7 linked regions of the Nothobranchius furzeri genome follow. The protein of the gene in region 6 binds, or shares a complex with, the protein of the main gene of each other region. Links are inferred from orthologs where the notes say so. Each region holds a gene or a part of one and is shown on either strand. Other genes may lie near its edges.

Region 1 (2,719 bases), on a different chromosome or scaffold from region 6:
TGTGTTGCTAACTTAAGTTCTTGTGTGTGAATGTTGATAATATGGCTGATTAAAATAAAGTTTAATAGAGAACAGCTACTAAACAAGAAGCACCGTTAAAATAGTGGTGCACTGATATGAAATTTTTGGGCCGATACCGATATAAAAATCAGTTATGGCCAATAACCAATATTTGCCAATACAAATAAACTGACATTAATGCTTCTAAAATCAGATTTTGTATAGAATTAAAATGATTAAAGCTGAATTTACGTTATGTACACACACCATACACATTTACGCTTCTGAGATAACAATCACTGTTCACATGACTAAACAATTACACCCGCCCCAAATGATAAATACATGGAGACAAGATGGAAAAAATATCGGTTGTCAATATCGGCCCAGTTTTATTAATCGGACCGATACAGATGTTAAAAAAAGGACTAACATCAGCCGATACCGATTTTGATGCCGATATATTGTCCATTCCTAGTTAAAATCAAACAAAAACAAAGTAAATAAAGACAGATTTTTATTCAAATGGAGCAAAATAAATGTCACTTTTCAAGCCAGAACAAATGGGAGCATTGCGTCTGTACAACTAACAGCTACTGAAGTAATAAACGTTTTTCCCTCCTGCTGCAGGTTTCGACCCTACAGAGAATGAAGTCTACACTGAAACAGCATTTAGGGAGTAACGGTCATGACACTGTTCTTACAAAAAACCTGCTGCGTGTTTAAAGAACCAGAAGTTAAACTGACAGGACGACAAAAAAAAAAAACTGCTCAGAATCTCTTTCTCTTCAGGATTTCTGGTTTCCAGTTGACCGGGTGACTTTCTTCAGTCTGAAACAAACAGAACAAAAAGGTTAATTCATCTCTTTGTTGCCTTAAAATCTGCACAGAGAAGGCTTTGGCAGCAGGAAAACAACTCACAGCCGTGTCGTCCTCTTTGTACACTTTAATGGTCTTGTCTGCCTCTGCGGTGATCAGTCGGCTCTCTGAGTGGTCGAACAGGCAGGCGAAGATTCCCGACTCGCTGTCCAGAGATCCGGGCTGCACGGCGGCATGAATTCTCTGGAAGTTGTAGCCTGTCCTCCAATCCCACATGTGCATGGTTCCATTATCAGCTAGAGGACAGAGTCATGAATTCATTATGAATCCAACCTAAAGCCTCATCAGTGTTTGGAGTGAAGGAGGTAATTATTACCTCCAGACACCAACACGCCATCAGAGTTGACAGCAAGCGTGTTAATAATGGCGTTGTGGCCTGACAGATTCTGGATGAAGTTGCCATCTGGGAACTTCCACTGCTTGATGTTATCAGCTGATCCTGATGCAAATGTGTATCTGTGGAAAGAATGAAAAAACTTGCTAAATTACAACCCTGTAGCTCAGATGTAATCCACAATCCAGTCAGGGGTGTACCTAGTGACCCCTAAACGGATCAAATACAACCCAAACTTTTCATGGATGCATTTGGTTAGGTGTTAGAACTGCTTTTATTACAGAGAAATGGTGAAAACACTGATGACTGAGTAGGCCCGTTTCTACTATCGGAAACTCTGGGTAACTTTACCGGACCTTCGTGGCATGTGCATTTCTCCTTTTCACCTGGCAGACCCAAAAGCTCCACTTCAGGGACCAAGTACCTGCACTGGGGTATGTACTCAGAAAAGACCTGGAGAGTCACTGGGAAAGACTTAAAGAGCAAGTCACCCCCAAATCAACTTGTTTTTACTGATTAACTATATAAATGAGTGTCTAATTGTGAAAACTGTCAGTGTTGCGCCCTCTGCAGGTAAAAACTCAGCACTGCATTTGAATTTAAATCTGCCATTGCTATTGGTTAAGAGGTACCCTATGACATTAGCTGGTACATTATAATGTCGCACAGTGGGGTGTGTATTTGTTAACGGCTCCGCCCTCTCGGTCAGTTTTCCTTTCAAACAGGAAGTGGGAGTGGAGTAAGACTGTGGTAGGGGGTGACTTGCTCTTTAATTCACGACTGGTTGTAACTCAGTAGGAAATGACATCGGCAGAAATTGCCCAAAACAACCTGTATTTGTTAAATTGGAAGACTTACTGGTGAAGCACAACGGAAGGAAAAGAAATTGTTGTTCCTAAACCCCCAAAGGCAAAATATTAACACCCCCCCCCCCCCCGAATGGCACTGTTTTGTGGTCTCCTGCAGGATGATGTTAAAAACTGTTTCCACTCTCCCCCTCACTGTTTGCTATCTTTATCGAACCACTAGCGGCAGCAATTAGGCAAACAACAGATATTAAAGGGATAAAGTGTAAGAAAATAGAACATAAGATCAGTCTTTATGCAGATGATGTTTTACTCTTTCTCCGGAATTCTCAATCCTCTCTCTCCCAAGCAATAGAACTGATAAACTCTTTTTTAAGAGTTTCCTCTATAAACTGGTTAAAATCCACAGTTCTACCAATTAATTTCTCTTTTGTCAATTTACTTAATACACAATTGGAGTAAGGGAATATCACATACCTGGGAATTAATATCTCTCCCAAGTTAGCAGATCTAACCAAACTAAACTACATCCCACTTTTAAAGAAAGTGGAAGATGATCTTGCAAGATGGAAATCCTTACCAATATAACTCATGGGGAGAGTTGCTACAATTAAAATGATGGTCTTACCCAGAATAAATTACTTATTCTCGATGATCACAAACAAACCACCAGCTGACTGGTTTAAATCTCTGGACTCCT
Region 2 (4,106 bases), on a different chromosome or scaffold from region 6:
ACATAAATGTGGAGCAGAGGTTTTAACCAAAAGATGGAGATATAATTATGGTTTTGGGCTGAAGTATCAAATTTTAAGTAAGACGCACTAAACTGCTAACCTAGTGAACTAGACCAAATTCTTGCTTTGCAAAGTAAATAATACATTTATTTAGTCTGGCTTGCCAGGCTACTAAACTGCCACATTAATGATTACACGTGTGTACAGCCCCATTAGACACTCATCTGTGCAAGTTATCAGCACAAAAAAAAATAGTTAATTTAGGCGTTACTTGCTCTTTAATAACAATCACAGAGATTTTTTTTAATAATCTATATTTTAATTTACAGTAGAAAAATGAACTCTTACTATCAATACACCTGAACTGACAAAATCAAACAGGGAAGTTTTTGTATAAATGATGCAGAAACACATAGCATCAAGTATTTCCCCTCCACTACAAAAAAAAGCAAAAAATAAAAATACAATTATTATATTCTGTGTATTTATGTTCATTAAGTCAATAAGAAATGCTTTCCTAAACATAAGGTTGGTTTTCCAATGATGTACCCTGACATAACACATGAGATCAGCCATGCATTAATCCTGAGAAAGGAGGTCTACTTGGAGACAGGTGTGGCAGGTTTAAGCAAGAGTTCAATATTTACACAATATACATAACAATCCAACCACGTGGTGTGAATTCCCACGCACAAGATACATCGCTCCACTTTCTAACATTCTCATTGGTCTTATCCATCATAAATGAATTTAGGCACAAACACATTGGGAGTAATTTACTCAAGACCCTCGTCTTCTTCTTCTTCCTGCTTTGCATCAACTTCGCTCGTGTCGGAGAATTCGTGCAATAGGACGTATTCGCGGCTGCTAAAGCCAAACTTGAGAACGTCTTTTTCTTTGAGCTCGTAGTAGCGCTGAGACTCGATCCGCTGGTTGTTCAGGTAGGTACCGTTGCCAGAAGCGAGGTCGATGATATAAGGCCTTACCCTGCGGCCAGTGGTGCCGTCTTTTCGAGTGTACTCCACTAACCTGCAGAATAAACAGAATCCTTAGTTGTATATTTTCCCCACAAATCTAATTAATCACACAGTGAAAACATTTACATACAACATACCTGTATTGGAATACTGCATGTTGCTTGGAGCAGGATGGGTGGTCGATGGGGATATCAGCGATCTTTCTTTGCCGCCCCAACAAATAGGCACTCTGTCTGTGAATGTACATGACAGGAAGGGGTTCATCATTCTTGAAAGGGTACAATCGCCACCTGCGCTTTGGAATTCGAGCTTCCTGTGGCTCGTTGTACTTGATCACCACCCCACGGAACGTGTTGGTGTCCTCTGTGAGAGCCCCTGACAATTCAAAGTTGGGCTTCTCTTTATCAGCAGGCGGTGCCCCCGAGTCGCTGCCGTCTCCCTCAGCTTGTCCAAACTCCTGTTCTTGATTTTCTTCACGCCGCCGCCGATTTTCCCTACGCCGCTCATCGTGCTGCCGCCGCTCAGCTTGCTGAGTCACTTGGGAGTTTCGCTCACGATGCCTCTCTCCATCCCGGTCCCCGGACCTGTTATGTTCCCACCTGCTTCGTCTTTCATCTGGCTGCTCGTTCCTCCTCCTCCGCTCATCGCCGCTAGATCTATGCTCATCACGCTCCTAAAACAAAAACACAAAACCTTCATGACTACAAGTTGAGACAAGTCAGTTTCAGTTTAGAATTTTATAATCACCCTCTTTATTCTAGAGTCACTGCTACAATGAGGGCTGTGATTTCTCTTGTTTCTGGGAGATCTGCTGTTTCGTCTAACAGGAGAGGTCTCCCTTCTGCCTGGTGAGCGGTCTCTTGTCCTCACGGGTGACCTGTGTGAGGAGCACAAAAGAGAAAACACTCTTAAGCCACTCGTATCAGTTAGGCAGCATTTACAAACTAAAATAGTAATAAAGTCATCTTTCAGTGTTAGAGATTGTAAGAGATCAGGTGTGGGAATTAAACAAGATTAATCAATACTTTGACTTTGCATTAAATATCCAAAATGTGTGTAGAGGATCTAAGATGTTAGTTTTTGATACCAATTAATAAAGTTTTGATTAGCTAAAACGCATGTTTTAGCTAATTGCCATTGGATTTTAGAATATTACTACACATTATAAGAAATTTAAATAAATGTAGCTATATAAACTATATATTTAGATGCTTTTGATTGTTTCTTGATTTGTACTCATTCGAGTAAGACAGGAGCTTGGTTAATAATCTAACTGACGTACTATAGGCACTTGAAGCTGAACGTGATATAGTTGTAAATACACGTGTTAATAACAATCTACTTACTGTGATATAAAGAAATAACGTAAATTATCTGAACTTTTTTTTTCTAAAAAGCATTTCCTTTGAAGATGTGTCAACTTAAGTCACATTTAAATTCAGTTATTAGAAAATAAAGAACATCAGATCTGAATATTATCACCTTGGTGGTGCTCAAAGGGCGACAAACGCGTGTTTACCTGCTGGTTCTTCTCCTCTGTGGACTGGAGTTGTCTGTGGATCTCGACCTCGAGCGGCGTGATTTCTGCGGCCTACTCGGACTCAATTTCTCCTGTTTTACTTTCACTTCCGGCTCTCGCGTGGGAGAATCTCTTCTCTTGTGTCGCTTCTCTTTGGCCATTTTTGAACAAAATCCGTCAACTTTTTGTGGCTACGCAAGCATAGTTAGCCACAGAAGCAAACAAACGCAAAACCCACCAAACGGTTGCTAAAGTTGCGTTCCGTTTCCGTTTGGCGCGCTGACAATTTCTTCCGACGTGGTATATGTGCTTTCAACTAAACGTTCCGCTATGATGACTTCCGTTCCGTTTAAAGATAACACGGATTAAATCATGAAAACTACAGATATTTTTATGAAGCCGTAAATTCAACTCCAAGTGGATTTGAGCTATTTTTCTTTTTTAAATTGCGCTTAGATCTTTTTTTTTCTGTTTTCCGGCAAACGCCCGAACGTTACCATGACAACATAAACAGCTATTTCTGTACATAAAGGCGTCAGGATGATTGAATTAGACGATTCTCTCTTGAAATATGACGATCCCGTTTTGGTTAAGAGGACAGCCTCAAGCTCAACCAAAGTAAGTCGGACAAACCCTAAAGGTGTGGATTGAAGGGGTACCATTAACGGAAGTTGTTGGAAGAAACACAGAGCAAAGAGATCCAGACTTTTTGTGCCCTACATTTTATTTATTTATTTCTACTCTGTACGGAAAAGGGAATAGAGCCACTGACAAGGGAAAAAACAACAACTGCTGCCCATCTCACAAACCAGAGCGGAAAAAAGCACATCGGCTTAAATTATACAGATGGGAAATAACGCCAGTTAATTACTTAAGTGTTGTTTGTGTGCTTGTTGTTCAGTAGCTAATGCTATAATTAATATAATCTGGCTTTTTTCATAAACCCCACACACTGTGCGTGATGCGCTTTTGGCAAGGCCGGATTATAATATGGGCAAACTGGGCACAGGCCCAGGGGCCCACAGCCACAAGGGGGCCCACGCAAGCAGCAGTCTTTTTTTTTGTGTGTGTGCAGCAGTCTCACTCGCCCCCACTGTCCCACAGATTGACAACATTTTTGTTAGTACAGACAGAAGAGAAGACAGGAGTGCTGTGAGGAAGAGAGACAGAAAAAGAGGAGAAAAGAGAGAGGACAGAGGAAGAAAGACACATGAGTGAGGCACAACAGGAAAATCATCAGGCATGAGTGTTAAGGGCTCAACACACGGGAGGCGACATCACCTCTCCTCCATTCATTTTCAATGAGACATGCGCGACAAAGCGATAATCGGGGGTCTCTCTCCTACTAAGCGAAACGCGAAAAACGTGCGTGTGAAATTTTGCACTCGTGCACGTGTCGTGCACGGACGACCCAGCGACGCGATCCCAGAAAGTTGAAACATTTTCAACTTTTCATCGCTGTCGCTCAGACGAGGACCAATCAACGGAGGTTTCATTCACTGACCAATGAGCGGACAGGATGCTCTATACACCTCCGAGCAAACATGAAGGAGAAGTTGATTATTATTATGTTTTATAGTAAAATCACAAGTAAGATTTCACATAACTCT
Region 3 (3,500 bases), on a different chromosome or scaffold from region 6:
GCTCAACTAACATAATTTACGGCCCAAATCCAACAGAACCGGTCGGGCTGATTCGATTCGGGTTTGGTCTCAGGTTATAACTCCAGCGCTCAGCACCACCGCCGTTAAAATAACACAACTACATTCCACTATAATTGATTATGGCACTCTTCTGTGATGCAAAACCGTTTATGCCCGCATCTCATGCATTGATTATTTGATTATTTTCCTCAGCTCTGTCCTAAACCTCCCGGTCGGGGGTGGGGGTGGGCGGAGCCACAAAGAGAGGGCTTGCGGGCCGGACGTGGCCCGCGGGCCGCCATTTGCAGACCACTGCTCAAGGGCAACATGCCGATTATCACTTGTAAGCCGCTTTGGACCAAAGCGTCTGCTAAATACATGAACATGAACATAATAATAAAGAGGGAAGCGAACATGGAGTGTGCAGTAGAAACAGAATCAGACACGCTGGATGTTAACGTTCTGATCCGTTTTTCCATAGAGAATCCTCCAGAGGAGCCGGCGGTTCTGACCGAGTCCTATCGTCGGTTATCCGGCCACACGGCTAAAATCACGGGGATGTCGTGGAGTCCGCATCACAGCGGCCGGCTGGTCACGGTCTCCTACGACGGCACCGCCCAGGTCAGCAGCTGGAAAAGCTGCACGGAGACGTTCCCGCTTGGAACGGCTTTCTGCTCTAAGCTTGTAAAAGTTCTGTTTGGTTCTGGTTCCTGCAGGTGTGGGATGTTCTGGAGGAGGCTGCCATCTCCAACTACCGCGGTCACAACGGCTACCTGCTGTGTGTCGACTGGTCACCCGTTGACCCAGATGGGATCTGGACCGGAGGGAGGGACTTCACCGTGCACGAGTGGAAGGTCTCCAAACAGGAATTCACCAAACCCCCCAAAGGTACACCCGGATTTGGGTTCTGGTTCAGATCCAACAGACCAAGCCAGAACTGTCTGTGGTGTCATCTCAGGAAAGAAGAAGGTCATGATGCAGGAGAAGCGGGCCCGTTCCAAACAGCAGAAGAAAAAGAGCAAGAACGGGTCCGGAGGAGCCACGGCGCCGAACATGAACGGAGATTCTGTTGTAGGAGTAACCATGACGACTGAGAAGGAGCTGTCTGAGGACGAGGAGGAGGTCCGATCCACACAGAACCAGGAGGTGACCACAGGTAGAAACAAGTCGGTTCTGGTTTCAGTGGAAAAAGAATTTCATTTAAACTTTAGTTTAAAAATGATATTTTAAAAAATTCTGTGGAAAAATAAAAGAATTTTTTTCTCTTTCAGCAAATTTTGAGACGCAAAAAAACTCAATTCCTGCTGCGAAAAGTAAAGAAAAACCAGGTTTTTGTCTGAACTGAGGTCCCAGCTGGGTTCCGGCCCAGTAGACTGGTTCTGGTCCTGATCAGCAGCTCTTGGTTTCTCCAGATCTCCTGGTTCTGAAGAAGAAGAAGGCCCGCTCCATGCTGCCCCTCAGCACCTCCATGGACCACCGGCCCAGAGAGGAGCTGCTGCAGGACGTCCTCACACTGGCCTCCGTCAGACACCCGGGGGGTGCAGGTCTGTAGCCGGGTGGTGCTCGCTGCTCGTGGTCATGGTGATGCTTTTACTGAAGGCAGGAGGTGTGTGTGTGTGTGTGTGTGTGTTCCAGCCCCTCCTGCAGGCTGTGTCCCGGGTCAGGGGGACCACCTCCATCTGGGCCTGTTCCACGACCGACCGGCGCTGTACCGCATGTTCCAGGCAGAAGGTCGGTTCTTCCTCCTGCTTTTACTAACAGGAACGTTTTTCATGCGTCTGAACTCCACTTCCTGCTCCTCAGAGGACGCCCACATCGAGGCAGGTCACTACGACTCGGTGGTGTACCTGCGCCTTTGGACTGGAGACCTGGAGGGGGCGCTGCAGCTTGCCACAGAGAGGGGCGAGCTGAACGACCACCTGCTGTCCATCGCCCCCATGGGTAACAACTGAAAGCCCTCAGACCCAGAACTTCTCGGTGCTGGTCGATCGAATCTGAAAGAACTTTGGTTTTTACATTTAAAGAGCCTACAGGTGCTGGCCAGTAAATTAGAATATCATCAAAAGGTTGAAAATATTTCAGTAATTCCATTCAAAACGTGAAACTTGTACATTATATTCATGCAATGCACACAGACCAATGTATTTCCAATGTTCATTACATTTAAATTTGATATTTATAGGTGACAACCAATGAAAACATCAAATCTGGTATCTCAGAAAATTAGAATATTCTAAAGGCCAATGAAAAAATGTTTGTTTCTCTAATGTTGGCCAACTGAAAAGAATGAACATGAAAAGAATGTGCATGTATAGCACTCAATACTTAGTCGGGGCTCCTTTTGCCTCAATAACTGCAGTAATGCGGCGTGGCATGGACTCGATCAGTCTGTGGCACTGCTCAGGTGTTATGAGAGCCCAGGTTGCTCTGATAGTCGTCTTCAGCTCCTCTGCATTGTTGGGTCTAGCGTATTGCATCCTCCGCTTCACAATACCCCCTAGATTTTCTATGGGGTTATGGTCAGGCGAGTTTGCTGGCCAATCAAGGACAGGGATACCATGGTCCTTGAACCAGGTGCTGGTGGTTTTGGCACTGTGTGCAGGTGCCAAGTCCTGTTGAAAGGTGAAGTCTGCATCCCCATAAAGTTGGTCAGCAGCAGGAAGCATGAAGTGCTCTAAAACTTCCTGGTAGACGGCTGCATTGACCCTGGACCTCAGGAAACAGAGTGGGCCAACACCGGCAGATGACATGGCACCCCACACCATCACTGACGGTGGAAACTTTACACTGGACCTCATGCAACGTGGATTCTGTGCTTCTCCGCTCTTCCTCCAGACTCTGGGTCCTTGATTTCCAAAGGAAATGCAGAACTTGCTTTCATCAGAAAACATAACTTTGGACCACTCAGCATCAGTCCAGTCCTTTTTGTCCTTGGCCCAGGCGAGACGCTTCTTGCGCTGTTTCTTGTTCAAGAGTGGCTTGACACACGGAATGCGACACCTGAATCCCATGTCTTTCATGAGTCTCCTCGTGGTGGTTCTTGAAGCGCTGACTCCAGCTGCAGTCCACTCTTTGTGGATCTCCCCCACATTTTTGAATGGGTTTGTCGTCACAATTCTCTGCAGGGTGCGGTTATCCCTAGAGCTTGTACACTTTTTTCTACCACATTTTTTCCGTCCCTTCGCCTGTCTGTTAATGTGCTTGGACACAGAGCTCTGCGAACAGCCAGCTTCTTTAGCAATCACCTTTTGTGTCTTGCCCTCCTTGTGCAAGGTGTCAATGATTGTCTTTTGGACAGCTGTTAAGTCAGAAGTCTTCCCCATGATTGTGGTGCCTTCAAAACAAGACTGAGGGACCTTTTAAAGGCCTTTGCAGGTGTTTTGAGTAAATCAGCTGATTAGAGTGGCAGCAGGTGTCTTCTATATTCAGCCTTTTCAGAATATTCTAATTTTTTGAGATACCAAATGTGGAGTTTTCATTAGTTGTCACTTATGAATATC
Region 4 (3,797 bases), on a different chromosome or scaffold from region 6:
ACATTGTGATAAAAATACTCCTGCTCGAAAAGAACCTGGTGCCTTCGACATGTGACGAATATGTTAAAAGATGATCGTTTAATATAAAATAACTAGCTTTGGGCAATGATTTACGTCATTCCACGAACCTCTACGTTAGCCCGGCAAGCCATCCTATAGGCTACCATCTACCAGGTCACTTTTCCTACACCGCCATCTAGCGGTGACTTTGGTCCCCGGTGTAATGTAAAACAACGTTCCCCCACCTACATGTGCAGTTTTACCAATTATCACAACTGATGTGAGAAACTGCACCTAAAAGTTGACTAAATAAACAGTTTTGCTTTATTTTGTCAACTGTAGTGGGATAAAGGTCTGATGACTAAATAATAATTTCATAAAATACATTTTTATTTTAGAGCCTGGCCTGCCAGACTCATCTGTGTAACTTTATACACAAGGAAGCGTGGGGCTGGCTAGTACACCAGTAGCATTGGGATCTGATTGGGACAACACAGTAGTTAATGATGCTAGTTTATGTGCTGACACTTTATTCAGTATTAAAAACCAACACAAAGAAGTCAGAGTAATTTGTCCTCTTAACCAGAAGTTTAATGTACAAAAAAAAAAGTCCAACTAAAAAGCACACAGAAATTCACAAAACGTTTCTGCTTTAATGAAGCAAAGGAAAAAAAAAATCCTGTACAAACAGTGAAGTGTTAGGAATCAACAGAACAGCCTTGCGATCATCTCCTTGGTCCACCTCGTCCCCGTCCCCTTCCTCTCCCACGTCCCCGTCCCCTGCCTCGTCCCCGTCCAGCCACTGAGGAGACAGATGAGCAGCATCAGCACAAGTGTCACAAACACCATATTGCTCATTTAGCATCTGGTCCTTTAAACCACTCCTTAAATTATGTCGTACAGTTAATGTTACAATTTAGTTCTTTTAATATAAACCCATGCAGAAACCTGTGCAAACACACCAGTTACATCACTGTGAAAACCTTTTTGTTCACGCAAAGGAGAATTCAGATTCACTTTCTAAAAAAAACACCTTAAGATAAAATTCAACTCAACATATCTTATGCATTTTCACCTTTCTCACCTGCTTCTCTCTTCTTGGACTTGATCTTTGGCTCGATGTCAACCAGCAAGGTGTCCAGAGGGAGGCTGTCTGGGAGGATGAAGTAGCGAATATTGTTGCCGCGGATACTCAGCGACTCCAGCTGAGTGGGCTCCCTGTTTTTTAGGGTCATTTTTACCGCCTTCAGGTGAGTGTTCATGCTCACATCAACACCTGAAAAACAGAGAGGAGGGATGAAACACCAGCCATAAGTACATCTGGCACTTGAGTTTAGGATTAATTTTACAGATTAGAAAATATTTTAATTTGCAGGTTGTGTGTGTGCTTGTCTAGGGTTTGTTAAACATAAAAAAATCCCATCAAATAGGATTAAATAATACAAAAACATACATTGTGCAGATTTATCTGTACTAAAGTCTGACTATGAGGATGAAAGCACAGCTGTGGGTATTAATCTACTTAATGCATACAAATATATGTCATTAGTATTGAAATTAAAGAGCTTCAGCTGACTCCTGGCTTATCTGACCACCTTTATGAGCTCACCTGTGATGGTGCCGTGAACCTGGGTGCCATTTTTCAGCTCAATGGTTACGGTTTCATGGCTGAGCTTCATCAAAAACCTGTGGGCATCATTGCACACGATGACTGAGTGAAAACATCACAACGTAATTGGGACATTTCTCGCAGAGGCTAGATAGTAGCTTAGCTTTAGCTATCTAGTTAGCCACCGATGGCTATTAGGTGACTTTTAAAGCGTTTGAAACAATAAAAACACTGATTATCCACCAGTTTAACAGCTAAACTAAATATTTACAAAATGAACTCTAACAAATTATGTTAAAACCCCATTTTGAGCCGCTTTAGTTGATTGACAAGCTAATGCTACAACGGTTGAATGAGTTAACGTCTAGCCTAATATTTTTACTTATTGAAATAGAAATGTACTTAAAGTAGACGTTCATCTATGTTGATAATTAAAACTGTGCGTAGGAACGTGTTTTAAACCCTCAGCGGTCGCCGTAACGTCGCTCAGGATCCATTACATTTTTCCACTTCCCGCCTCATCACCGTTTAATCAAATCCCAATCCATCCGGCCACATCACTTTCATTTGATCAGTTTACGTTAATTCTCCGGTTAATCCGGGACCTCCCGCTGCCGCCTACCTGACTAGTTTCATGATGATGGAAAACAGTAGAGAAAAATCCTCCACCGAAGACAAAAATTACAGCGATCGAGTGAAAACACAGGCCGCTGTTGTATTCGAAACGTTCAGGGATGTGACGTCACTAAAAGGCGACAACAAAGACGAGGGGGTGTAATTACCGCCATCTACTGGTGGAATTGTGATCCGTTCTAACACTTTTGTTTTATTTTTCTGTGCAACATGTTTTACAGTAGTGTTAAAATCCACAATCTTTATTTTACTACTAATTTATTGGAATCTGGCAGTTAAAAGGTCAAATATCCAAAACAAAGATCCCTAAATGATCAATATTTAGGAAGATCACTACCGTTACCTACTGCTGGATTCGTGATCTGCAGAATTTGCAACCAAAAGGTCAAAACGGTGTTTATGTGCAACATGTGTTAAAGTCGTAGTAAAATTTACATTTTTACTGATTTATCAAAATCTGGAAGATGAAAAAAGGTAAAATATCCACAACAATTAACCCTAACTGATCAAGACCTAATTCATTCAACAGATCAGGAGACAACTTCAGAGAACTTGTCGCAGTTGAATAAAACCACAAAGCAGCACTTTCAGCTCATTTTATTAAGAGTAAACTCTGCACCGATACTTAAGAGATTTGGCCACACATCAAATCTGTCTTCTTGAGACCTGCTGGGAATGTATCAAGTATAATCAATGAGAGTGCTTTTTTTTATTCCAAAGATGTAGGCTGAGACCAATAAATCATAAAGTGTGAAGCACAAAAAGAAAAACGGCACAAGGCCATTAAACTCAGCATTATTCCACTTCTAATAATAATAAAAATAAATAAAACCGTCATCCTCTCTGTGTGTTGCCTGCACATGATTGACGCAACACGTTATTAATATTCTGGAGCAGAAAAAGTCTCGACTCAGTGCATCTGCTGTTGAACTCTAGAAAAGAAAATCTAATTATGCAGTGGTTTAAAACAGAAGTCATGAAATATTACAGCAGGTGAGCACGTGTTCCTGGAAATCTTTCATGTGGAAACAGATAATGTCCTTTTGGGGTTTCTCTCCACCTTAACCATAGCAACTGAGTAATCGATCTTCAGATCAGCAGTCGTGTTTTATTCTCCTGTAAACGTTACAGCGGGGCTCAAACAGGAAGTCACACGTCCAACAAAATAAAATCAAAGGTCAGCTGGACGTGAACATTCAGATAAAGGGGTTAAACGTCGGGCCGCTGCGCCATGAAATGTTTTAGGCTTTTAAACTTTGATTTAGCGTGTTTAAAAAACAATGTTAACAAATAGAAACTAAAGAAGGCACACACACCAAAAGAAGATCCTCACTATAATAAGGAAGTGATGATAAATGATTTATTTCTAAAGCAGCTAATAAATACGAGTCAAACGATGCTGTAGTGTGAACGCCGATATGCTAAAAGCGTATAAACCTAAAGTGACTGAAAATGAAGGTAAACAGCTCAGAGATGATAAAATGAATTTCGTCGACTTGTGGGCTGCACGGTGGCGCAGCTGTTAGCACTGTTGCCTCGCAGCAAGAAGGTTGCA
Region 5 (4,240 bases), on a different chromosome or scaffold from region 6:
ACACACACACACACACCTTATTGGATTTCACCCATGTACAGACGTTTATCACTGGAGCCAGACAGCACTGCAAAGACACAGAAAAGAATAAATGAGTGACTTTTTCTTGTGTTTGGTTCCGGTTCCTGTTCTGTCGCTCACCTATGGGCTCCTCTGGGTGAAACACCACCTCGTTAACAGAACCGGCGTGGCCCGGCAGCTTGTAGAGGATCCTGCGAGACGTGGTGTCCCAGATGTACACAAATCTGTAGCAGACGCACAGAGCGGGGAACAAAAGTGGCTCTCAGTGCCTTATCTTTACTCCGTTTGGGTTTAAAAAGTCACCAAAGCGTTTCTCACCGATCGGCTGATCCTGCGGCTACTTTACTGCCATCAGTGGACCAGGAGCACCTCAGCAAGTTCTGAATAAACAGGAAAAGAGGACATGAGAAGAACACAGACCCGGAGCTTTCACAGCTAAAAAGCGGTTTTCTTTAGTCCAGATATGTACGACTTCTCAGATTGACCTAGAAGTGAATTGTTCATTTGTCTGCTAGTGAAGATTACCTTTTCAAAGTTGTGAACATTACCCTGGAAAATCTTCACGCACCTCTCCTTGGGTGCAAACGGCCGCACGTCCCAAATTCGCACTGCAAAGACACGCGAGACTCTTTGAGGGATGCGATTCAAGCACAGATGAGCAGGATCAGAAGCCGAGCATACCAGTGTTGTCCATGGAGTTCGACAGAAGGTATGACCCCTCGGAGCTCAGGCTGAGCCCGGTTACAGAGTCCCCGTGTCCATGCATGTTGTAGATCAGCTTGTTCTGTCGCAGATCCCACACCTGAGCAACACAAAGCTTTCAGATCAACGACCAGGAGAGAATTTTAGGCTGGAGCCGATTTGTTGCCTTCGACATTTCACATTTTTGCAACAATCAACAAAAAATAAACTTGCGTTTGGAGTTGAAGCAAACAAAAATGTAAACAACCAAGGGCTGACAATAAATCTCACTGAACATCTTCAGTCAATCAACTTTAAAATGGCTGAAACAGAGCATCACTGCAACCATCTGCTGTTGTTAAAGGGATTAAAATGTTTAGTCTGACTTTCTTCAAGATAAACAGTTTAATGAGTCCCTTTAAGAAAAACTGTTTTTTTAACCTTGATGTCGTTGTCGATGCCTCCAGACAGGATCTGATCACTGGTGTCGTTAAACGTCACGGCCAGAACCTGGTAGGTGTTCTGAAAGGTGTGGATGGCTCCTTTTTTGCGGATGTCCCACAGCTAGAAAACAAAAAACATCAGGCTAAACAAAACGTGCAACAATGTAGGTGTGTGTGAACGGTGTGTGTTGGACCTCATTTTCACAGCAAAACACCCAGAAAACAGCCTGACCTTGATCGTCCCGTCGTCGCTTCCTGTACAGACCAGCTGAGGACCTCGGCGAGCTGGATAGCAGGTGTTAACAAAGGAGGTGTGTCCCTTCAGACGTTTGACCCTCTCACCTGTCTCGCTGTCCCACACGCCAACAGTCTTGTCCGTGCTGGCTGAAAACAACAAGCTGAACCACACAGACACCTCTGTATCACACTTCTGACTCAAGTTCCGCAATAATCCACCAGATATTAGTTGATCATATTCCACCGTCTCTACCTGCCATCTGTGTTATAATGCAGCTCCATCACCGCTCCGCTGTGACCCTTCAGGGTGGCGTAATTCTCACAGTCTCCATACACGTTCCACAACACTGCAGCATGGTAACAGAGATTTTAAAGCGGTTTTAACAAACATATGTCTGCTACTGTTTGACACAAACTTACATATGAGTCTGTCGAATCCTGAAGAGGCCAACACAGCTCCATTGGGGTGAAACTTGCAGCAGTAGACCTCCCCCTCATGGCCAGACATCAACATGATGGGAGCCTGCATGCTGGAGGTGCGTGGATGGCCCTATGGGGATCAGTGATTTAGGTTTGCAGCATTATGGTGCAGAAACAACAAGTGGTACTTTACTTTAAATGCATACGAGCTGGATGACTTGCTGAGATCTAGCAAAGAGAGTGAAGTAAATGCTCCCTTTAATCATGTAGGAGCTGGAAGTAGATCCTAATTGCACCAGTGGCAATTACAATCTGGTGTTTCCTTAAGCTTGCATTATGATAAAAGGTGATATCTGTGTATATATATTTTACCTTTGATGCACAAGTGAACTCTGATCATCTTGACAGTTTATTTATTTATTATATATGCTTTGTTATTTGAATCAAATATTAAAAAGGAAGGCTGTTTTAATAATAAATATTGTTACCAATAAAATACATAATTACAATAACCAACACGCTCTTGAAAATAGTTTTTTTGCATATTGAATTCTATTGTCAACTATTCTGATGTTTACATTAATCATGAAAACGTGACTAAATCTGCTTACATGGTCCGGTTAATGAATACATAAGTCCCCGGCTAGCATAGCTTGCCCTTTTCTCAAACTTAAAAACATAACTACTATAAAGGTGGTAAGTATGATTTAATCTTGAATGTAAACGCAGTCGGATGTCACCAGGGCTACGTTACCGTGGCCACGAGCTGCTGAGACTGAGCCGCCGCTACTAGCTCCATCCGTGGCCGCTTCAGCGCAGTGGGAACCATCGCCATGTCTCCGGGTCTCTTTAGAGGTTCAATCATTGCGGGGAAAGTTAACAAAAAGCGGCTAAATAGAGTAAATGCAAAGCTAAAACTTAGTAAAATTAACGGACGTCTTCGACGAAAGACGTCTGAGGAAACAAAACCACCAAAGAAGACAGACACTGAAGTACTTCCGGGTTCAAAGCTCGTGATTGGTGGAAATTTGCGCAGGCTGCAGTGATTGGCTGATTTTCTTCCTGGCGTCAATTTGACCTGGAAGTATAACTAGCACAGTTTAGTCGGTGGAAAAGGTATTGCAATTATTTTTATTTCTTAAGAGTTAGAGTCACATTACGCAAAATATATTAATTATAGCACAATTGTCTGGTTTACTAATGTATCATAGAGCAGTTTAACAGGAATAGGTTAGAGGGTTTTATGTAAACACCAATGCTCGTGTTGCGTTTATCCTGTTCATGTTTCCAGAGATATTGTCTCCTATAGTTTTTACTCCGCTCGAATTAATGTAATGGAAAGTGAAGTTTGAGGTAAGATAAATCCATGTTTTGAAAATTAAAACTGATTTACAATATTAATAATTCTATTTGTTCGTTTTTGAGATTAGCCTAGTTTCTTTAAATCTGACAGCTGCAATTTTTGTCTGTGTTCTTTGTTTTTATTTATTTTTTTGTGTTTGGTTCTCAGTCTGTTTCACATGTATGGAGTGTTAGAAAATATGCAGTTACCGTTTAAATAAAATTTAGACCATGGCTGGTCTTTTTAGTCTAGTTTTAATATTATTAAACTGGGTTATTTGAGCTTAATTCTTAATGAAAACGAAGAAAAAACATTTTAATTGAAGGATAACTTCAACTGAACTTGATTTATTGCCTACTCCTGACTTGTGAAAACATAATAGTTGTCGTAGAAAGTAGTTTTATGGATTTTTATTTAATAATTTTTATTCACAATATAAATACTTAAATTTATTCTGTTACTTTGTAAAAGGAACAATATTGCTTTTATTTTGGGTTTCTTTAACTTTTCCTCGTCTTTCGTCTTTTATCTGTGTTGTGTTATTGAATTGAAATATATTTAATCCTCCAACTGTTTGCCCAGATTGAGACGATGTCCAACCGTGACCGCTCGAGTCGAGAACCAGCCGGGCTGGATGGTCTGCCTCCGATGTACAGCATCGCCAAGGGAGAGGTGGTTTCAGTGCAAACATATGGAGCTTTTGTTCGACTGCCTGGTTACAGGAAGGAAGGTTGGTAGAAGGCTGAGAGCTTGTAATCTTTAAAAATGAAATACCAGTATTAGTAATATTAACCAGCTGAGTGAAGTGAGTCCTTTAAAGCAGTAATGGATCTGTAAAAAGAAAAATAGGAGATATTAGATGACTACAGCTAACTTTATATTTTTTATTTAAAAAAAACGTTTTCATTTAATACCATATATTATAATTTTAGTAGCAGATGCAGCACTGGGAAGCATCAACGGCTAAAATAGGAAGAAGTTTGTCCCAAACTTTTTATACTTCATTATCTCTGATGATAAATTCTAATTTTAGTGGTTGCCCTAAAATATTTTGCCACTAGATGGAAAAAAGATAAAAGGTTTGGGTTCTAATTTG
Region 6 (4,276 bases):
ATATATTATACTTTTTAAATACAGAGGTCACACAAACTTGCATCCAGTTGATGTAAATTGCTGATAATGACAGATTGTGTTTGCACCAGAGGTTTTTTTTTTAGCTGGAAGACTTAACATTCAACATCCTAGAGACTTTGTTTTTCTATAAACAAAATATTCTGTCATTTTAAATAAATAAACATTTAGATTTGTGCATTTAAATGTTAATAGTTTGATTGATAGACTTGTATCTTGTACTTACTCATCTGATTTAATGCTTGTTGCTCTCTTAATTGGGCCACTGTAGTGTGTTCAGATTAGAGAATGCAGCTCCATCCCATGTAAGGTAACGCTGAGCTCATTTTAGTCTGCATCTCAAGATGCAAGAGTCTAGGGTGAGTGTGCTTGGTAAAGGTATAGAACCGTGCAGTCTGGAAACCAATCCCACTCATTCACCTCTCCCAGCAACACACAGCCTGCCATTATCTACAGCAAGTGATTTCCACAGGTAGATCTGTAACCTTTGGAACAAGGTGGGTGGGTTGAGCACCCATAGGCGTCTGTCTGTCTCTTGCCAGAAAGCCAATCTCTTAGTGTCTCGTTGCTGCCACATATACCCGTTTCTCTCCTTTACACACACACACACACACACACACACACACACACACACACACACACACACACACACACACACACACACACACACACCTTTGCTGTGTTAAACAGCGAAACAAAGGCTTACCTGTTTGGGCTGCAGACTACGGAGAGGTCTGCTTCCTCAGTCTTATTTATTTCCTCTTTACTTTGTGAGGAGAGAGTTTTTGATATAGGGCTGCATGGTACAAATGGTACTGCTTCCCCACAACAAGAAGGTTGCAAGGTTGCCTTTCTTCAAAGTGCATTCTGGCCATGCATACACTGGTTTTCACTGGATACAACAAGAACATTTAGGTTCCATTGTGTCTCTAAATATAAATACATATTTGTTTGTCCCTGTTTGTCTCCATGTGGCCCTGTGCTAGACTGGTGACCCATCCAAGGACTCACCTCTTGACTGATGAGTGCTAGAGTTGGGCATCAGCTTCATGACGTATGAAGAATAAGCAATGACGAAAAAAGAGGGGCTTACCTTTTACACGCTTGTTCTATGCACTGGTTGTGTTGGAACTGTATTGAAGAACTACTATAGATGATGATGATGATGATAGATAGATAGATAGATAGATAGATAGATAGATAGATAGATAGATAGATAGATAGATAGATAGATAGATAGATAGATAGATAGATAGATAGATAGATAGATAGATAGATAGATAGATAGATAGATAGATAGATAGATAGATAGATAGATAGATAGATAGATAGATAGATAGATAGAATTTAGGAAAAAAGTAACTAAGAAAATAATAGTTTCAAGATTTTTACATTTATGGATGATTTTTTTTCCATTACACTTACCGAGCAGAATCTCCGTAACCCGGAAGTTATAGCGAACTGTTTAGAGCGCGTTGAGAATGACCCGGAAGTGTTTTCGTCCACGAGAAGAAGGCAGAAGCGTTGCTCATAAGAATTAGACGGTGGAAACGAGAGAAAAACAGCTTTAAACAGTTTTTATAAACCACCAATCATGTAAGTGTCGTTGATGATGAGATAGCCATTTCGGAAAGTGTCATTTTTTGAGATAGAGTATCAGCTACGAGTCGCAGCGTCTTTTCTCGAATGCTAACATGTTTAGCCTTTTCACTGATGAATGCTAGTTAGCTCACGTTGTGTTGCTTTCTAAACGTGCTATCGCTTTTCATATTTTACTCACCATTAACCTAATATGTACAGGGTAATTACTGCAATAAAATATATGTAGTAGTTACGTTGGTGATCGTTAATGATGCTACGATTGTTTAAATTTTATGTTTGCCAATTGCGAAATATTAGCAGCACGATTAAGGAGACCGGTGTTGAGTCAAATTGTGTTCCCCGTAGATAACAGTTTGACCAACTTTCTAAAATGTGCGTTTGGAGAATGAAATTGTCAGGATATTAGCCTAGTAACGAAGTCGGCTTTATGTTTTTGAAGCATATGAGCTTATTTTAATTCAGAACATCATTGTTAGCGACGTTCTGTCTCAAGGATGTTCCACATGTTTTTTTTAATCAATCTTCTAAGAAATCCATTGCTTGATACAAAAGAGTAAAGGAAGGTTATGAAGAAACTCAGAGAAACAGTTAATTGTTAATGCAAAACTTGTCATTCTAATCTCTTCAATTTTTTTTAACTTCTGATTGCTAACCAGTAAATTAAACGTGTATGTCTGATATTGTTGAATATTTGGCTATTGCTAAAAGTAGCTTGGTGTAAATTTTTTAAAATAAGTTATTAGTTTTGTTAAATGCCTATGGGAACTTCCCCACTCTTCTACTGAGAGATTTAAATTTTAATCTCGGTTAAAGTCAGGTTTCTTGAATTGCATTTAGTTAGGGTGCCTTGTTTTCATTTATTATCTTGTAATCATGTAAGTTTTAAAAGCAAACCGCTAAAAGGACTTGTGACCGTTATCTGTGCAGAAGCAAATGATCTAGTATCGTGTCTGCTTTTGTGTAGGAGTCTGTTGACGAAGCCCAAATCAGAGATGACACCAGAAGAACTCCAGAAGCGGGAGGAGGAGGAGTTCAACACCGGCCCCCTGTCGGTGCTCACCCAGTCAGTGAAAAACAACACTCAAGTCCTCATCAACTGCCGCAACAATAAGAAGCTGCTTGGAAGAGTTAAAGCTTTTGACAGGTATTGAAAGAATTTTCATCTAAAAAAAAACATTCAGAGTTCTGCATCTATGCGAGAAAATTTTACATTTAGCTTTTTATGTTTATTTATTTGCAGACGCTTTTATCCATAGCGACGTACAATTTTTTACTTGTAGGGCATGTTGTGATCTGTAGGGGAAACCGGAGTACCTGGAGGAAACCCATGCATGCATGGGGAGAACACTCAACTCCACGCAGAAAGGCCACAGCCGAGTTTCGAACCTGCAACCTTCTTGCTGCGAGGCAACAGTGCTAACAACTGCGCCACCATGCATTTATGCATTTGGATGGCAGAGTCAAAAAACTTAAAATCACATTTAGGTATGGCTGCCACAAAAGACAATTTTAATAGTAGACTAATCACCAGTTTTGTTGACGATTAGTCAACTAATCATGTCATCATGCATAAAAGTATAGCTTATTGCACCAGGGTGCCCTAATATACCCGATGATAGCTTATCAAACAGCTTTTAGTTAACTTTGTAACCCAGGGGTGCCGGAATCCTGGTCCTGCATGTTTTAGTTTGAACTCCGCTTCAACACACCTGATTTCAATCAGCAGCTAATTAACTGGCTTCTGCAGAGCCTGATGAGCTGCTGCACAGGTGTTTCAACCACTGAATCATGTCTGTTGGAGCAGAAAAAACACAAAACCTGCTGGATACCTGCCCTCCAGGACCAGGATTGGGCACCCCTGTAGTAACCTGTTAATACAAATGCTAAACAGTCAAATGGAGGTAGGCACCTAAAACTAGGGCTGTAGCGAAGCCTCGACGAAGTCGACGGCTCGATTCTAAAAATTTGTCGACGTCAGATCCGGAAGTTGACGCACCGCGCCCACTTGTTGCATCCCCAGGAGTTTGTAAATAGAGGAGGAATCTGCCTGTTTTTCCTCTAGTTTGCCCTCTTCTCCGCCTTCACTAACATCTCCGCCAAATACCGAAGACCCGGAACAATGTCCGTCCACTACTAGATTATTTTCCTGTTTTTCCCCTTCGTCTCCCGGCAACGGACAACAACTTCCGGGGTCAGATGCGCTGCTTCATGTCTATCGCAGATGTAGAAAATCACCGGGAGCGCTTCTCCCTTCATAAAGGAGCTTCTTTCAGACATGAGGAGAGCTGTTTTGGTGGTAGCAGTCTCTCCTCCCTGCTGGTCTGTTTGCTGCCGGGTGTTTTTGGTTTATTTAAACTTGGTAACTTGAACTTTTGGTAAAGCTACTGTTAGCATCTTCGCTAACAGCTTCTTGCATTGGGATAAGCTGTTACGTTTTGGTTTAGAGTTCATCTTTTTTGTGGTGTAGATCTCCCTTTTATTACATTTAGAGTGTTGTGGGTTTTCGGTTTAGTGTAAAATATTACCTGAGTTTGGTTTAACCCGTAAGACCACTCGCCTCACGCACATAAGTGACCAAAACAAAGCAGCATGGAGACACTCCATCTTCTACCACCTCTCAGGCAGCAGCCTGCACTCCCAAGTTCTACACGTCACC
Region 7 (4,110 bases), on a different chromosome or scaffold from region 6:
ATCCCGATGGCCGTCTGCACCCCCTGCATCTGCAGCTCAGCCTGTCTCACCTGCTCCTGGCTGCAGCAGTCCTGCAGGAAGACCGAGGCCAGGTTGCGCAGACGGGGGCTCTCTGCGAGTGAGAAGCGCAGCATGCACTGAACGATCCCTGGCTCTGTGATCTGAGAGCAGGTCGCTGGTGTGGTGAGGTTCATCAGGGTGGTGACGGCAGACAGCACCGTCTCCTCCCTCCGGTTTGACAGGTGGTTTGTGATCAAGCTGATCCCATCGTTCTCCAAGATGATGTCTCTGCATCCAGGGTCCATACTGAGGTTACACAGACCCCCTGTCAACACAATATTTGAGTTTAGATGATTTTTACATAAACAAACATGATTTACTGTTTTAGTTGGAGAGATGCTCACCCATCCCAAACTCCACAAAGTTCTCATTCTCTTCGGTCAACATGTCCAGGAACAGGTCAGGAACCTGCAGCTCCCTCAGGTACTCCATGTTCTTTGGGTCATATGCAAAGTTGGCTAGATTTGCCAGAACCTGCTCCTTTGCCTCTGATAAAGAGAAAAAGTAATGAAACAAACAGAGATACCTACATCCACTAATTCACCTTACACCAGCTCATTACAAACAATGATAAACAGAGGCTGCAGCACAGAAACAGTACACATTTATACCACAGGGGGCGCTTTTTACTTTCACATCAAAACACCCTTCAGGCTCAAATGTGGAGCTGACAGTATAAAAATAAGATTTGTCTGTAAACTAGAAAGGCGAGGCAGCTTTATTTGTGTAGCACATTTCATACACTGAAGCTATTCAATGTACTTTCCAGGTGCATGACCAGCATGATCATAAAAGATTAAAATCAACGTGACGACGTAAAACAGCAGCTTTTAAATTCAAATTTTAAATACTCTAATAAAATTAAATGTAAGAAATAAAATAAAAGACAAAGTTAAAGACTGAGCGCAGAAGGTACAGCATGAGAAATAATCCTTCAAAGGCTGATGAATGCATGAAAGTCTTCCATTTTGACTTAAAAGTTACTAGAGTTGGGGCACATTTCAGGTCATAAAGAAGCTGATTCCATCTGTGAGCAGCATAGTAGCTAAAAGCAGCTTCACCCTGTTTGGTTCTGACCCGAGGTTCTACCAGCTGACTGTTTCCTAAGGATCTCAGAGCCCTGCTGGGTGTATATATACAGGAAGGAGATCCAACATGTATTTTGGCCTCATTTATAAACTAGCAGTAGCACTTAGTAATCGTTTCTATAGTTTAATGGCAGCCAGTGTAGATATTTACAACTGGATGGATGGATGTGGAACTAGCGCATTATTTAATTCATCACATTATCTGGCTACTTATTTTTAACACCGTTTTTTTAAAAATAAAAACAAGCAGCTTTCTGCGGTAAAATCCAACAGAAAATGTTTACTTATGGCAGTAATCTCAAAGTGAACTAACATGTAGAATGAACAATCAGAATTTGGTTAAATAACGTCACTTTTTGGTTTCCAAATACTAAGCTTACATTTATTTCATGTCACAACGATACACTTTCAGAATAAAACTTAAAACGCTGCTTAGAATTACAGCTTATTTGATGTATTTGTTCACTTCTACCTGATTTAGTCATGTTTACAGATTCTTTTTCGAAAAATTTTAACTTCATGAAGTCATTTGCATGTATTTGTGATCTTTTTGTCTTCTGAACACAATTCTAATGCTGATAGTCAGCCTTTCTCCTATTGCAATGGATAAAAACTGGTCTAACATATATACAAATGTTCTTTTGACGATTTTTTTTCTCTCACTTCAAATAAATATACTGATGGAGAGTACAGTTTTCGACTGAACAACGGCTTCTGAAAAAGCCCTCTAACGATATAAATAATAGTGATGTGTCAGTCCGAACGAACCGGCTCTAAGAGTCGGCTCTTTGAAGTGAACAACGGGAGCCGGCTCATCATTGGGAGCCGTCCCCTCCCCTCCCCCCTCCCCTCTTGCTTTGGTGAACGCTACAGGCGATTGGTCAACATGTGTAACTGTGTGACCAGACTGTCCACACACAGAGCAGTAGGGACGGGGAAGAGGGAGAATCAGACTCAGACACACAGCAGAGCACATGCAGGTGGAGGTAGACGAGAGGGAATGAGGAGGAAAAAGGTGAGCGAGATAGAGAGGAGAGTGTGATGAAGACGGTGAGAAAATGAGCGCCAGCAGTCGGAAAGTGACAATTTCTTAAAGTGTTCAGTTATTAAATCCATAGAAATTATAAATATTTGATATATTGCATTTTTTTTTACATTAGTAAATAATTTTACATATAGTTTTGCATTATTTTGGTTATAAATGTACTCTACGAAACAGAAAATCTGAGGAGCCATTTGGGAGCCGAAAGAGCCGGCTCTTTCTGGTGAGCTGAGCCATTCCCATCACTAATAAATAATAGCATGCATCTAAACTGAGGGTGTTGAGAGTCTACGTGTTCGTTTTAAAACGGTTTTTATTTTAACTTTGTAGAACACAGATCAAAGGTTATTCCTACCTTCACTGTCAGTGTCCTGAAATTCAGTAACCAGCGTCTGTAAATATTCAAACCGTTCAGGCGCTTCAGCTGACTCATTTCTCTTCATCTTTTAGCAAAAACACATTTAACACTTCAAATAAAATTCACACAGATATCAGATTATGCTGATGTTTAAGTTACTTGACCGTTCATAGCTGATTCAGAGGTTGTTTTCATTTCACGTATGGGTCCGCGGCTCATAAGTGTTCGGAAAAACTGCGCAAGTAGATATTTGTTCCGCTGTTTTATCAAAACTTGTTTGTCCGTGAAGATGTGTTCCCCGTTCACTTTCGCATGATTTAAAGAGTAACGCATTTTTAGCTACACGAAATCGTAACATCGTTGCTATAAACTCGCCTATAACGTTATAAATGCTAGCATTGCTGTCACAATTGTGCAATGAAATACGCGAGAGCTACGCGAGCCGATGAGGAAACACATTTTAAATGGTGTACAGAGATTGATACAACACCGGCAGCTGAGCGGAAGTTAAGGAGCAGAAGGTGTGTTTGTGTTTATGTGCTCGTACAACAGCACATAACGCACGTTGCGGGAGGTCAGCTTAACAAAAACGCTATGTCGCTTTGTTTATTTAAGTAAAACAGCAACAATGAATCACCACCGGCTGTCCGCGAGAAAGCGCCTCGCCAAACCCATTTTGTTCGGAACTCTGCTGGTTGGACTCGCCACTATTTTCATTAACAGGTGAAACTGAGCTTTGCTAACTGCGTAAAAGAAACACACGCACAACACATTTCACTGTAACACCGGTGTGACGGTGAAACTGTCATTGGAGACTGAAGCAAAAATATTAAATACTATGAGTTAGCAGCAAATCGTAAACATATTTGCTTGTCGTTTATGCAGACACAGGTTCCTTGAAGACGTGGTTGAGCTCAAGGCCCAGGAGCGAGAACGCAACTATGCCAGGATGATGGAAGTCCTGGAGAGGAGGGAGAAACAGAAAGAGCTGGTGGAGAAGAAGAAGCAGCAACAGACAGGAAGTGACTGAACATATGAACTTTTTGCAGACGACTGATGCTTTACAGGCCATCAGACATTACAGTCATCCAGTAAATCAGTAAATTATAAGACTGGATGGAAGTTCAGCTGAGCAGGAACCACGCTTTTAAATTTTGACACTCGTGTTGGTCAAGCGGGAGCAGAATTAACCACCATCTACATAAATAGCCTTATTTTTAACTCGAATCATCTTTAATTTGTCTTGTTTTTTTTATCTTTGTGATTACTGTCTGTGATGGGTGTTATATAAATAAAATGTACTTACTATCTGGGAAAAACAGACTAAACCCCTAAGCCAAACAGAAACAGTGGGAGAAAAATATTACTGGATAAACGATTTTTTTTTTTATCAGGGTTGAATTAAAACCAAAGTATCAGGACTTGTATTTTGTCATTAAGGTGTATCAAGTCTGAGATATAAATTTTAACTTCATAATGGAGAGGTTAGAGAAGATTTTGAAGTTTTAATCTCAGTTCAGCTCAAATTAATATGCTAAAGTTTAAACTCCCATTACAAACAA

What was found.
Region 1: snrpd2 (region 6) and plrg1 share a complex: the UniProt entries of both Homo sapiens proteins name them as parts of the minor spliceosome. The link is inferred for Nothobranchius furzeri from reciprocal best matches to the Homo sapiens genes SNRPD2 and PLRG1.
Region 2: snrpd2 (region 6) and snip1 share a complex: the UniProt entries of both Homo sapiens proteins name them as parts of the minor spliceosome. The link is inferred for Nothobranchius furzeri from reciprocal best matches to the Homo sapiens genes SNRPD2 and SNIP1.
Region 3: snrpd2 (region 6) and gemin5 share a complex: the UniProt entries of both Homo sapiens proteins name them as parts of the SMN-Sm complex. The link is inferred for Nothobranchius furzeri from reciprocal best matches to the Homo sapiens genes SNRPD2 and GEMIN5.
Region 4: snrpd2 (region 6) and snrpd1 share a complex: the UniProt entries of both Homo sapiens proteins name them as parts of the SMN-Sm complex. The link is inferred for Nothobranchius furzeri from reciprocal best matches to the Homo sapiens genes SNRPD2 and SNRPD1.
Region 5: snrpd2 (region 6) and snrnp40 share a complex: the UniProt entries of both Homo sapiens proteins name them as parts of the U4/U6-U5 tri-snRNP complex. The link is inferred for Nothobranchius furzeri from reciprocal best matches to the Homo sapiens genes SNRPD2 and SNRNP40.
Region 7: snrpd2 (region 6) and armc7 share a complex: the UniProt entries of both Homo sapiens proteins name them as parts of the minor spliceosome. The link is inferred for Nothobranchius furzeri from reciprocal best matches to the Homo sapiens genes SNRPD2 and ARMC7.

The regions. Positions count from the first base shown.
Region 1 is NC_091744.1:17,224,387-17,227,105, forward strand, and holds the end of plrg1 (pleiotropic regulator 1), read right to left. Parts: intron 1,336-2,719; coding exon 1,196-1,335; intron 1,116-1,195; coding exon 922-1,115; intron 832-921; coding exon 772-831; 3' UTR 501-771; downstream 1-500. UniProt on the Homo sapiens protein: Involved in pre-mRNA splicing as component of the spliceosome. Component of the PRP19-CDC5L complex that forms an integral part of the spliceosome and is required for activating pre-mRNA splicing.
Region 2 is NC_091745.1:70,706,837-70,710,942, reverse strand, and holds snip1 (smad nuclear-interacting protein 1), read right to left. Parts: upstream 2,801-4,106; 5' UTR 2,658-2,800; coding exon 2,497-2,657; intron 1,855-2,496; coding exon 1,725-1,854; intron 1,651-1,724; coding exon 1,115-1,650; intron 1,030-1,114; coding exon 777-1,029; 3' UTR 298-776; downstream 1-297. Other genes in the region: dnali1 (axonemal dynein light intermediate polypeptide 1), read left to right, coding at 3,037-3,114. UniProt on the Homo sapiens protein: Required for pre-mRNA splicing as component of the spliceosome. As a component of the minor spliceosome, involved in the splicing of U12-type introns in pre-mRNAs. Down-regulates NF-kappa-B signaling by competing with RELA for CREBBP/EP300 binding.
Region 3 is NC_091750.1:72,365,791-72,369,290, forward strand, and holds part of gemin5 (gem-associated protein 5), read left to right. Parts: intron 1-481; coding exon 482-621; intron 622-716; coding exon 717-888; intron 889-958; coding exon 959-1,156; intron 1,157-1,271; coding exon 1,272-1,328; intron 1,329-1,412; coding exon 1,413-1,544; intron 1,545-1,635; coding exon 1,636-1,731; intron 1,732-1,803; coding exon 1,804-1,941; intron 1,942-3,500. UniProt on the Homo sapiens protein: The SMN complex catalyzes the assembly of small nuclear ribonucleoproteins (snRNPs), the building blocks of the spliceosome, and thereby plays an important role in the splicing of cellular pre-mRNAs.
Region 4 is NC_091759.1:18,894,640-18,898,436, forward strand, and holds snrpd1 (small nuclear ribonucleoprotein Sm D1), read right to left. Parts: upstream 2,370-3,797; 5' UTR 2,246-2,369; coding exon 2,232-2,245; intron 1,687-2,231; coding exon 1,610-1,686; intron 1,277-1,609; coding exon 1,076-1,276; intron 803-1,075; coding exon 726-802; 3' UTR 501-725; downstream 1-500. Other genes in the region: gamma-glutamylcyclotransferase, read right to left, coding at 1-4. UniProt on the Homo sapiens protein: Plays a role in pre-mRNA splicing as a core component of the spliceosomal U1, U2, U4 and U5 small nuclear ribonucleoproteins (snRNPs), the building blocks of the spliceosome.
Region 5 is NC_091759.1:20,973,028-20,977,267, reverse strand, and holds the start of snrnp40 (U5 small nuclear ribonucleoprotein 40 kDa protein), read right to left. Parts: upstream 2,801-4,240; 5' UTR 2,668-2,800; coding exon 2,557-2,667; intron 1,933-2,556; coding exon 1,803-1,932; intron 1,730-1,802; coding exon 1,636-1,729; intron 1,544-1,635; coding exon 1,378-1,543; intron 1,267-1,377; coding exon 1,144-1,266; intron 824-1,143; coding exon 703-823; intron 630-702; coding exon 547-629; intron 402-546; coding exon 340-401; intron 246-339; coding exon 142-245; intron 68-141; coding exon 18-67; 3' UTR 1-17. Other genes in the region: zcchc17 (zinc finger CCHC domain-containing protein 17), read left to right, coding at 3,736-3,874. UniProt on the Homo sapiens protein: Required for pre-mRNA splicing as component of the activated spliceosome. Component of the U5 small nuclear ribonucleoprotein (snRNP) complex and the U4/U6-U5 tri-snRNP complex, building blocks of the spliceosome.
Region 6 is NC_091753.1:27,245,598-27,249,873, forward strand, and holds the start of snrpd2 (small nuclear ribonucleoprotein Sm D2), read left to right. Parts: upstream 1-1,476; 5' UTR 1,477-1,612; coding exon 1,613-1,614; intron 1,615-2,584; coding exon 2,585-2,764; intron 2,765-4,276. UniProt on the Homo sapiens protein: Plays a role in pre-mRNA splicing as a core component of the spliceosomal U1, U2, U4 and U5 small nuclear ribonucleoproteins (snRNPs), the building blocks of the spliceosome.
Region 7 is NC_091756.1:50,515,128-50,519,237, reverse strand, and holds the start of armc7 (armadillo repeat-containing protein 7), read right to left. Parts: upstream 2,801-4,110; 5' UTR 2,768-2,800; coding exon 2,708-2,767; intron 2,634-2,707; coding exon 2,546-2,633; intron 549-2,545; coding exon 405-548; intron 326-404; coding exon 1-325. UniProt on the Homo sapiens protein: As a component of the minor spliceosome, involved in the splicing of U12-type introns in pre-mRNAs.